2 linked regions of the Neurospora crassa OR74A genome follow. The protein of the gene in region 1 purifies or fractionates together with the protein of each later gene. This does not show direct contact. Links are inferred from orthologs where the notes say so. Each region holds a gene or a part of one and is shown in the gene's direction. Other genes may lie near its edges.

The links.
Region 2: the proteins of NCU05296 (region 1) and tbg purify together in Schizosaccharomyces pombe (affinity purification with western blotting; 3 studies listed by BioGRID, with this or other methods). This does not show direct contact. The link is inferred for Neurospora crassa OR74A from reciprocal best matches to the Schizosaccharomyces pombe genes alp4 and gtb1.

The regions. Positions count from the first base shown.
Region 1 is NC_026504.1:5,425,511-5,430,037, reverse strand, and holds the start of NCU05296 (spindle pole body component 97), read left to right. Parts: upstream 1-1,708; 5' UTR 1,709-2,151; coding exon 2,152-4,407; intron 4,408-4,483; coding exon 4,484-4,527. Other genes in the region: pca-5 (proteasome component PUP2), read right to left, coding at 1-86, 153-678, 898-910, 1,052-1,076. UniProt on the Schizosaccharomyces pombe protein: Component of the gamma tubule complex that is required for the regulation of both interphase microtubules and mitotic bipolar spindles.
Region 2 is NC_026506.1:2,227,951-2,232,487, reverse strand, and holds tbg (tubulin gamma chain), read left to right. Parts: upstream 1-1,614; 5' UTR 1,615-1,761; coding exon 1,762-1,769; intron 1,770-1,821; coding exon 1,822-1,862; intron 1,863-1,965; coding exon 1,966-3,074; intron 3,075-3,134; coding exon 3,135-3,362; 3' UTR 3,363-4,099; downstream 4,100-4,537. Other genes in the region: NCU03955 (phospholipase D1), read right to left, coding at 1-220. UniProt on the Schizosaccharomyces pombe protein: Tubulin is the major constituent of microtubules. The gamma chain is found at microtubule organizing centers (MTOC) such as the spindle poles or the centrosome, suggesting that it is involved in the minus-end nucleation of microtubule assembly.

The DNA.
Region 1 (4,527 bases):
TGCACGTTCTTGGCATCGAGCTTCTCCTCCATGACCTGCTTGAGCGTCTTGAGGACGAGCGTCTCGGCGTCTTCGAGGGTGAGGGACTATATAACAAGATGAAAATTAGCAATAAGGCCCTAATACAGTCCCGGGCACCCTAGATAACCCACCTTGTGGTACTCATTCTGCAACTCGGCCTGCGCGCCCTCGCTACCGCTTCCAATTGCCTTTGCATCATAGCGATAAAACGTTCCCGACGGCTCGGCATGGTACAGACTCGGGCCGTCCTCATCGTAGCCGGCAATCAGCAGCGCCACGCCAAAGGGGCGGGACATGATGCTCTCCTCGCCGTCGGCGCTCTCGCCGAAGCGCAGGGCCAGGTCGCAGATGGCCTGCGTGCAGCTCTCGACGCGCAGCTTCTCGTTGTAGTTGAAGGCGTGGCTCTGGCACTCGACGCGGGCGTGCTCGATCATGGAGCGCGCATCGGCCTGCAGCCCGGACATGGCGGTCCCGATGTGGCGGTCGATCTCGACAATCTTCTCGACCGACGAGGTCTCGAGCAGGGTCGAGGTCACGCGCTTCTCGACGCCGAGAATGACGCCCTCCGAGGTGGCGACGCCGATGGCGGTGGAGCCGAGCTTGATGGCCTCGAGGGAGTACTCGACTTGGAAGAGGCGGCCTTCGGGGGAGAAGGTGCTGTAGGCATGATTATTAGTCTTCCTTGTTGGACTGGGTAGATAGGTGGGTGACTTGGATGTAGGTATTGTGGCAGGTTGTGTGGTGTTTTATCGGTATTCGTTAGAGGGTGTTATCGAGGGATATGCGATCGAGTAGTGGCTGGAGGAGTATGGGAGAGAGAGAGAGAGAGGGTGGTGTGGCCAAGCGTAAAAGTCGTTCGTTCGTATGTTCACTTACTTGATGCCCCGATCTAGATGATGCGCCCAAGTATGTTAGCCGTCCGTCAGTCCATGATGTCTGGTGTAGCTGTCTGGTGTAGCTTGTCCCCTCCGGTGGCATCACTTGAAGCTTGACATGGGCAAAGCAAGTGAGGGGGGTGGTAGTGACATACCGTATTCAGATCTTGCCATAAACATTTTGACGGTGTTGAGGGGAGCTCGAGTGGGGAGAAGGGTCCGGGATGTAGTATTGCTGTCGGGAGGTAAGCCTGGCTTTGCTGGTTATATGCGCCGGGCGTTGGTTGGTGATAGCCGAAGAGATAGATGGTGTTAGCGTCGAGGGTCGGTGTCTCTTAGTCGAGGACTGGTGAGTGATGTTGTTTGTTTTGGGAGAGATTGGATGATGCTGTGCCGTGGTGGTTTGGATGGGAACAAGCTGCCGTAAGGCCTGAACTGAGGTGCCTGGGACCGACCGACGTCAAGCACCTCAGTGGAATGGAAGAGCTCCAGGCACGACAGGCCGACGAAGCTCCTCTGCCAGGCGGGCCGGCCAATCCCCTGTACCCTAGGTACCTAGGTAGGTGTCCCAAAAGGTACTTGCAGGTACGTACCTCCCGTCTACCTTCAGTTCCCACCTAGCAACCCGACTGTCAGCGCCTGGCCAGGGGAACCCCTCAGACCTAGCGGCCCGGGTGCCCCTCCCTGCCCGTAGAAGCCGCCCGCTGGGGCATCACCTATCCACTGAGACGGCTTGCTTGGCGGGTCCTCCTCCCTCTGATAACGCGTCCAATTAATTGTTGGTGGTCGCGTCACTTCCATCCAGCGGGCATCGGGTCTCCATTCCGCCGACACACTCCAACATCCAACGGGACGGCATCCTCTCACACTCACTCACTCACTCACTCACTCATCACTTTTGGACTGCGATTGCTACCTTCTTGGCTTCGCAATTCCTCCTCCATTTCCATATCCAACAACGTCTCCTCACAGGACAACCCTGTTGTTGTTACCCGGCAGATTTCCCGACCGCTGCTCGACCGTCACAATACATACGTTAGGCTGACAAGCTACAAGTCCAAAGATAATGTACCCTTAGAAGGGGGCAACATCACCGGGTCTCCGACCGTCAACCTTCACCAAACCCAGGCCCGACACGCCCGACCCCAGATCCAGTCCAGCGGCCCACGGCATTGTACATGGCCACGAGCCGCCAAACATATCCATAACCTTCTCCCACTTCCCCGACCGCCGCGCCGCCAGAGTCACCTCCGCAATGGGATCATCGGCCACCCTAGCCCCGACCCAATCCACCTCACAGACACGTCCCACCAGCAGAACCCTCGTCAATGACCGCCGCCCAGCCAAAGTCCAGGTGACCACACGCGATCCTGCCATGGCTCGATCCGGCCGGAACGCCGACCCCCTCAGCGCTGGTAGCGACACCCTCAAGTCCAGATCACGGAATGTCGAGTCAAGGCGGCCAAGAGGAGACAGCCGCGCTGCTGAACAACAACCACAACCACCACCGCCAGCCCCTTGGGAACCCGCCGCTACCCTACTCCCTCACACGTCAGCCCCTTTAGCTTCGCGAGTCTCGATACCGCCCGTTGCTTCGTCCGCGCCTCAGACACTACAGCCGCGACCGCTTGCCGAGCTGTCCCTCAATGCGCAAGAGGCTGCCATGATCGAGGACCTGCTCTTCGTGTTTATGGGCTTCGAGGGACAGTACATCCGATTCGCAAAAGGCTACAATCCCTACGAGGAACGAGACCGCTTGTCTGGGCCACAATGGCGCATCCTATCTGGGCTGGATCCCAGCTTGCTGGACCTTACACAATCCATGCTGCGCATGGCTTCTCACTACACGGCGCTGGAGACGTTTGTTGATGTTCAGAGTCGCGAAGAATTCGGTGCCGTCAACCACGCCTTGTGCGCCTCGATCCGGAGGTATTTGCACGAGTATCTGGTCATGGTTGTCCAGCTGGAGACACAGTTTCTCAACGACGAGAACTTTACATTACAGCAACTCAACGTGCATATCCTTCCCAGCAGCCATCTGATGGCTCACATGTATGGCTTGGCGCTGGAGCTGCTAAAGCGCAATGCGCTTCTGGATGACGACTCGGACGAATCGAGCGATAGTTCCGACGACGACTTCGATCACATCATCGAGCAGCTCAGAGACGGCGGTGATCTTGTGCCGGGGAATATGACGGGCAAAAAGATATGCAAGGGAGGCGTGGTATTGGGGCTGATCACCAAGAGACTGGAGTCGCTATCGGGAGACCCGTCCGCCAGAGTACTCCTCACAACTCTGCTACGGGACGCAAGCCGACCATACATGGCCATGTTGAACGAGTGGTTGCACCATGGAAGCATCAACGACCCACATTCCGAGTTTCTGATCAAAGAACAAAAGAGTATTCGCAGGGAACGATTAGAGCAGGATTATACCGACGAATACTGGGAGAGGCGATACACGATACGAGATCACGACGTGCCACCTCAACTGGAGGCCGTCAAAGACAAGGTCTTGCTGGCTGGCAAATACCTGAATGTTGTCCGAGAGTGCGGAGGCGTCGATGTTAGTCGCAAGATGCAGGACGTACCAAACTCGTTCGACGACAATAGGTTTCTGGAGAACATCAGCAGCGCCTACGCTCATGCCAACGGATCGCTAATGCAATTGCTTCTTACCACACACGAGTTGCCGGCGAGACTACGATCGTTAAAACACTACTTTTTCCTGGACCCTTCGGATTACTTCAACTACTTTTTGGAACTAGGAACGTCCGAATTACGAAAGCCCGTCAAGGTGGTGAACACTGGCAAGCTCCAGTCTTTGCTCGATTTAGTCCTACGACAACCGGGAAGCATAGTCTGTCTGGACAAGTTCAAGGAGGATGTCAAGGTGGAGATGAACGAGGTTACGCTACTCAAATCGCTTCAGCGGGTCGTTAACATTACCGGTATTGAGCAAGGCGAGGCGCTTCAGCTTACATCAAACCAACCGTTGGAAGGCGACAAAAACGCCACTGGATTTACCTCGCTCCAGCTCGACTATACTGTTCCCTTCCCGGTGTCTCTTGTTATTAGCAGGAAGACCATTTGGCGTTATCAGGCCTTGTTCCGCTACCTTTTGTCACTGCGTTACCTCGAGACCCAACTATCGGTCACATGGTATACTCACGCAAGCGGCACGGCCTGGACACACCGTTCATCCAACCGCATGCTGGAGATCTGGAAGCGAAGGGTATGGACACTCCGAGCTCGTATGCTTGTATTCGTTCAGCAGCTGCTTTATTTTTGCACTGCCGAGGTAATCGAGCCGAACTGGCAGAAGCTCATGAACACGCTCCGGGAGATTGAGAACAACTGCGCGGGTGTGACTACACAAGACGGTACCTCTACGCCAAGGGCATCATCTGCCAAGAAGCCTCATACCGTCGATGGGCTTATGCAGGAACACGTGGATTTCCTCGACACTTGCTTGAAGGAATGCATGTTGACCAACAGCAAGTTGTTACGAGTATGTCTTGTCCCCCCCCCTTACCTCCTACCCTAGGTATTCCGAATAATACAAACTAACTAACAAACCCCCCCAGATCCACTCCAAACTAATGCAAACCTGCTCCGTCTTCGCCACCTA
Region 2 (4,537 bases), on another chromosome or scaffold:
CCGAGGCGGACGGGCTTTCGTTAGCTCTCGGTGTCTTCGGAGAGCTCGCCTTAGTGGCGAAGTCGAACTGGTCGGAGCCGATGGGCGACGGAACGCCAAACACTTGGGCCTGAGTGATTGTCGGTAGTTCCTCGAGGGTCCCTGATTGCAGAACACTCTCTTTGCGCGACTGTGTTGGCACAGGCAGACTGGCCGAACTGGATCGGGTCGGGTCGGCCATGGCAGACGATGGGCGGTTGACGGTTGGTCAGCCTACCGGGGGACTGGTGAAGTATGCTGTTGCTGTTGCTGTTGCTGTTGTTGTCCTTGATGCTGGGAGATGTGGACAGTATCTTGAGAGAAGAAGGGGTAGGATCCTCGGTAGCGAAACATGCCGCGGCTCACAAGTAACGGTAGAAATGGTCACGCTCGTGGAAAGCGGGTTGACTCTCCAGGGGCTCGAAGACGGCGGTCAACTTTTTGAATAATGGGAATTGCTAATCGGAACGAGCCAACGACCGGGAAAAGAGCGGCAGAGTGGTTCCAATCGGGCCAACAAGGTCGGTGAAAGAAGATGGAGACGGTGGCGTGGCTACCTTGAACAGTATGAAGTACCTCCCAAGGTGGAAGTTCGCAGATACAGTCGGTTTTAGGGGGAGGTCGAAGTAGTGTAGAGAAAGCAAGATGAGGTGACGTTGGAGATTGAAGCAAGGTGTAAACTGTTAGAGTAGTAGTACTCTACTTACTAGTACACAGCGGGCATCCCCGTACAAGGAAAAGGTAGACGCGAAAAGGGGCAGGAGAGAGGTCAAACTTGGAAGTTGTTGTTTATTGGCCGCGCCCGTCTGTTACTGTTACTGTTACTGTTACTGTTACTACCTGTATCGTCCGGTACGGTAACTGTCCGTTGTACCTGCGTAGTAAGGTTGGAATGAGAGAACCAAGAGCAACCTGGAATAATTTGTTTTTTTCATTATTCGGTCAACTACTCTCTCCACCTCAGAGTTCTGCCTGATCTCTTGACCGTCACCTTTCTTCTACGTCAACGTTCCCCGTCATGTGGAGGGGTAAAACGTGCAAGACGCCTGCCTGCGTGTGTCGGGTGTTTGTCAAAGTGGTGAGACGAAGGATCCCGTCCCGTCACGTTGCAAGGTACTTACCTAGGTAGCGCAATGCTCCGCTACAGTAACCAAGTGGAAAGGCGCTGAAGGAGCCCCCCGTCGCACCTGGACTGCCCTGCTGGAAAATGGGGTTTTGTCATTTTAGGTTGGGGTGCTTGGACATGCAGGCATGGACGGCCCTTAACGAATTACAGAAGCTATACCCGACAGGGTTAGCAATCCCGGGTCCTGGAACTGCTAGATCCAGCCGACGGGAGCCAGCCACGAGATAGGTGGATGGAGACGATGGATCATTGGATGTCTCTGGTAGAGAGAGGTACCTCTACCGGCCCAGGTTAGGTGCCCCTCTCCGATCATGCTGCTAGCAGCTGACAGCGGGCGTCACTGTAGGTAGAGGTAGGTAGCGTTTGGTGATTTCCCGTCCCTTGTAGCGTTCGCAGGGGCACGGCAGCTACCTGGGTTCCATCTCCTCCCGTTTCTGTCGCGTCGACGCGGGAATCTTAGCGTAGTAGTGGTGGGCAACGTGCTGCAATCCAATGTGGGGAACTACCGGGCGTGCTCTGCTGACGTCCTTCCATATGTTTACCGATGTTCCCTCCGCTTTTGTCCCAATTGCAACAATTTCCGCCTGGAGGTCTCGCGCCTCGTTAATGCCACCACCATGCCCAGGTACGCGTCCCTCATCCCAGCACCCAACATATCGTGACTAACCGGCAAACAGAGAAATAATAACCATCCAGGCCGGCCAGTGCGGCAACAGCAGTGAGTGCCCAATTCAACCCGACGAGGAGGCAGTCGACCTTCACCCAGTCTTGCGCCTCGACATCCGGCAGCTGGACGCGCAGTTTCTGCTAACATTCTCAAGTCGGAAGCCAGTTCTGGCAGCAGCTTTGTCTGGAGCATGGCATCAGCCAGGACGGAACCATCGAGGACTTTGCGACCGAAGGCGGCGACCGTAAAGATGTCTTCTTTTACCAGAGCGACGATACGCGATACATTCCCCGGTCCATCCTGATCGATCTCGAACCCAGAGTCATCAATACCATCCAGACCGGACCATACCGGAACATATACAACCCAGAAAACTTCTACGTGGGCAAGAGCGGACTTGGTGCGGGTAACAACTGGGGTGATGGTTACCAAACAGGCGAGCAGGTACATGAGGAGATCATGGAGATGATTGAGCGCGAAGCCGACGGCAGCGACTCCCTCGAGGGCTTCATGATGTTACACTCCATCGCCGGCGGCACAGGATCAGGCCTGGGTTCTTTCCTACTCGAGCGACTGAACGACCGCTTCCCCAAGAAGATCATCCAGACATATTCGGTATTTCCCGACACGACCAGCGCCGGCGATGTTGTCGTGCACCCCTACAACAGTTTACTTGCCATGAGGAGGTTAACGCAAAACGCCGACTCGGTAGTGGTGCTTGACAACGGCGCCTTGTCACACATTGCCGCCGACAGACTACACGTACAAGAGCCATCCTTCCAACAGACGAATCAGCTCGTATCGACCGTCATGTCCGCCAGCACAACCACCCTTCGATACCCCGGCTACATGCACAACGACCTGGTCAGCATTCTCGCGTCCTTGATTCCGACTCCTCGATGCCACTTCTTGATGACGTCGTACACGCCCTTCACTGGCGACCAGGTAGAGCAGGCAAAGACGGTGCGCAAAACGACGGTTCTCGACGTCATGAGACGATTGCTGCAGCCCAAGAATCGCATGGTGTCTACTGTACCCGGCAAGAAGAGCTGCTACATTTCCATCCTGAACGTCATCCAGGGCGACGTGGACCCAACCGATGTGCACAAGAGTCTGCTCCGTATTAGGGAACGTCGTCTTGCTACATTCATTCCTTGGGGTCCCGCTAGCATCCAGGTGGCACTGACCAAGAGGAGTCCCTACGTGACTATGGCACATCGTGTCAGTGGTTTGATGTTGGCAAACCATACTAGTATTGCTACGGTATGTCAACTGCTGCTGTGTTGGCTAGATAGATGATCAAACTGACATTTCTTCACACAGCTCTTCAAGCGTATCGTTAGGCAGTACGATGGCATGCGGAAGCGCAACGCCTTTATGGAAGCCTACAAAAAGACGGCGCCGTTTTCTGAAAACCTCAACGAGTTTGACGAAGCCAGGGAGGTCGTCATGGACCTTATTGCCGATTACGAGGCTGCCGAAGACGCCAATTATCTCAACCCCGAGCTTGGCGAAAACGCGTCGGCTGACACGGACAAGAGAATGGCTTGAGTCTTAGCCGGACAGATGATGGCCAGCTGGGGGCCTTTTGTTTTGCGACTATACCTGGGATCCTTTAAAGACAGCTGGTATCCCTCTTTTTCTCTTCTTTTTTTTTTTTTTCTTAACTAGGCTGACGCGATATCACGACCAGATTGTTGTTCGCAGGCGTTATTGGGCGGGAGGGAAAACCAGGAGAAAGGTGTTGGCGCGCGTTTTCTGTATCGTTTGGCATGTTGTCGATAGATTGCAGCAGCTCTTTGACCACTGAGGCTATGGAAATACCACTTGTCTTCAAACCCCAAAATGCATGCACGCGCGACCTCAGCTTGGGCTTCATAAAGGACCCCAAGGTGATAAGTACTCAACCAACTGACAAGTGGCTGCGTGGTCGAGCGGCGTGGTGCGCTGAGCTCTCTTTGCACAAGGAGGGTAGTGCACCACATGCTGGGGGGGGGGCCCTCGCCGCCGTAGGTGACCCAACGGGGACCTAAATGGCGGGGGAGAACCTCCCTGGAAGCACTGTAAGCTGGCGTCTTCCGGCTATGCAAAATAGGGCTCTTCTACTCCCTTCCAGTTGAACGTGACGTCAGCCGTTCGATTCCAGCTCTTGTCCTCTCTCTTTTTTTTACTTTTTTTTTTTTACTTTTTCTGTTTCTTGGTTGTGTTTCATTGTCAGTGGGTGCTGCGATCAATATCGTTATGGTCCTCTGCAGGAAGCTATATAGATGCAGATGAAGCTATCACCACATCTTGGCACTCCTTAGCGTATTTAGACAAAATATTGAGACAGGGATGGCATTGACTGCTTTTAGTCTCAATCAGGAACCCAAGGACGGTGATAGGCGTATCTCCCTACCAACACTTCAGGGTGAAGATGACCTCATCAAGATTTGGCAAAATACATCAGATGCACTGCGCTCAATGCAGATTACCGCGAGAATTCGAGATGCACGGATTTCAAACGACATGGTCATCCAGCGCGGGAGGGGAGGAGTAGGAGTCCTTCCCAGAAGTCCCTTGAGCTTCCCTGTTGCTCCAACTTCCCCAGGAAGAAAACATGCCTTGACCAATGGAAAGCTAGCTCTTTTCAATCCTCAAATCCCCAGCCTTATTCGACGCCACAAAGTGGGTCACTTTATGGAGGCAAATGCTCGGGATAACTTGGCTAAGCCGCAGCATCACTG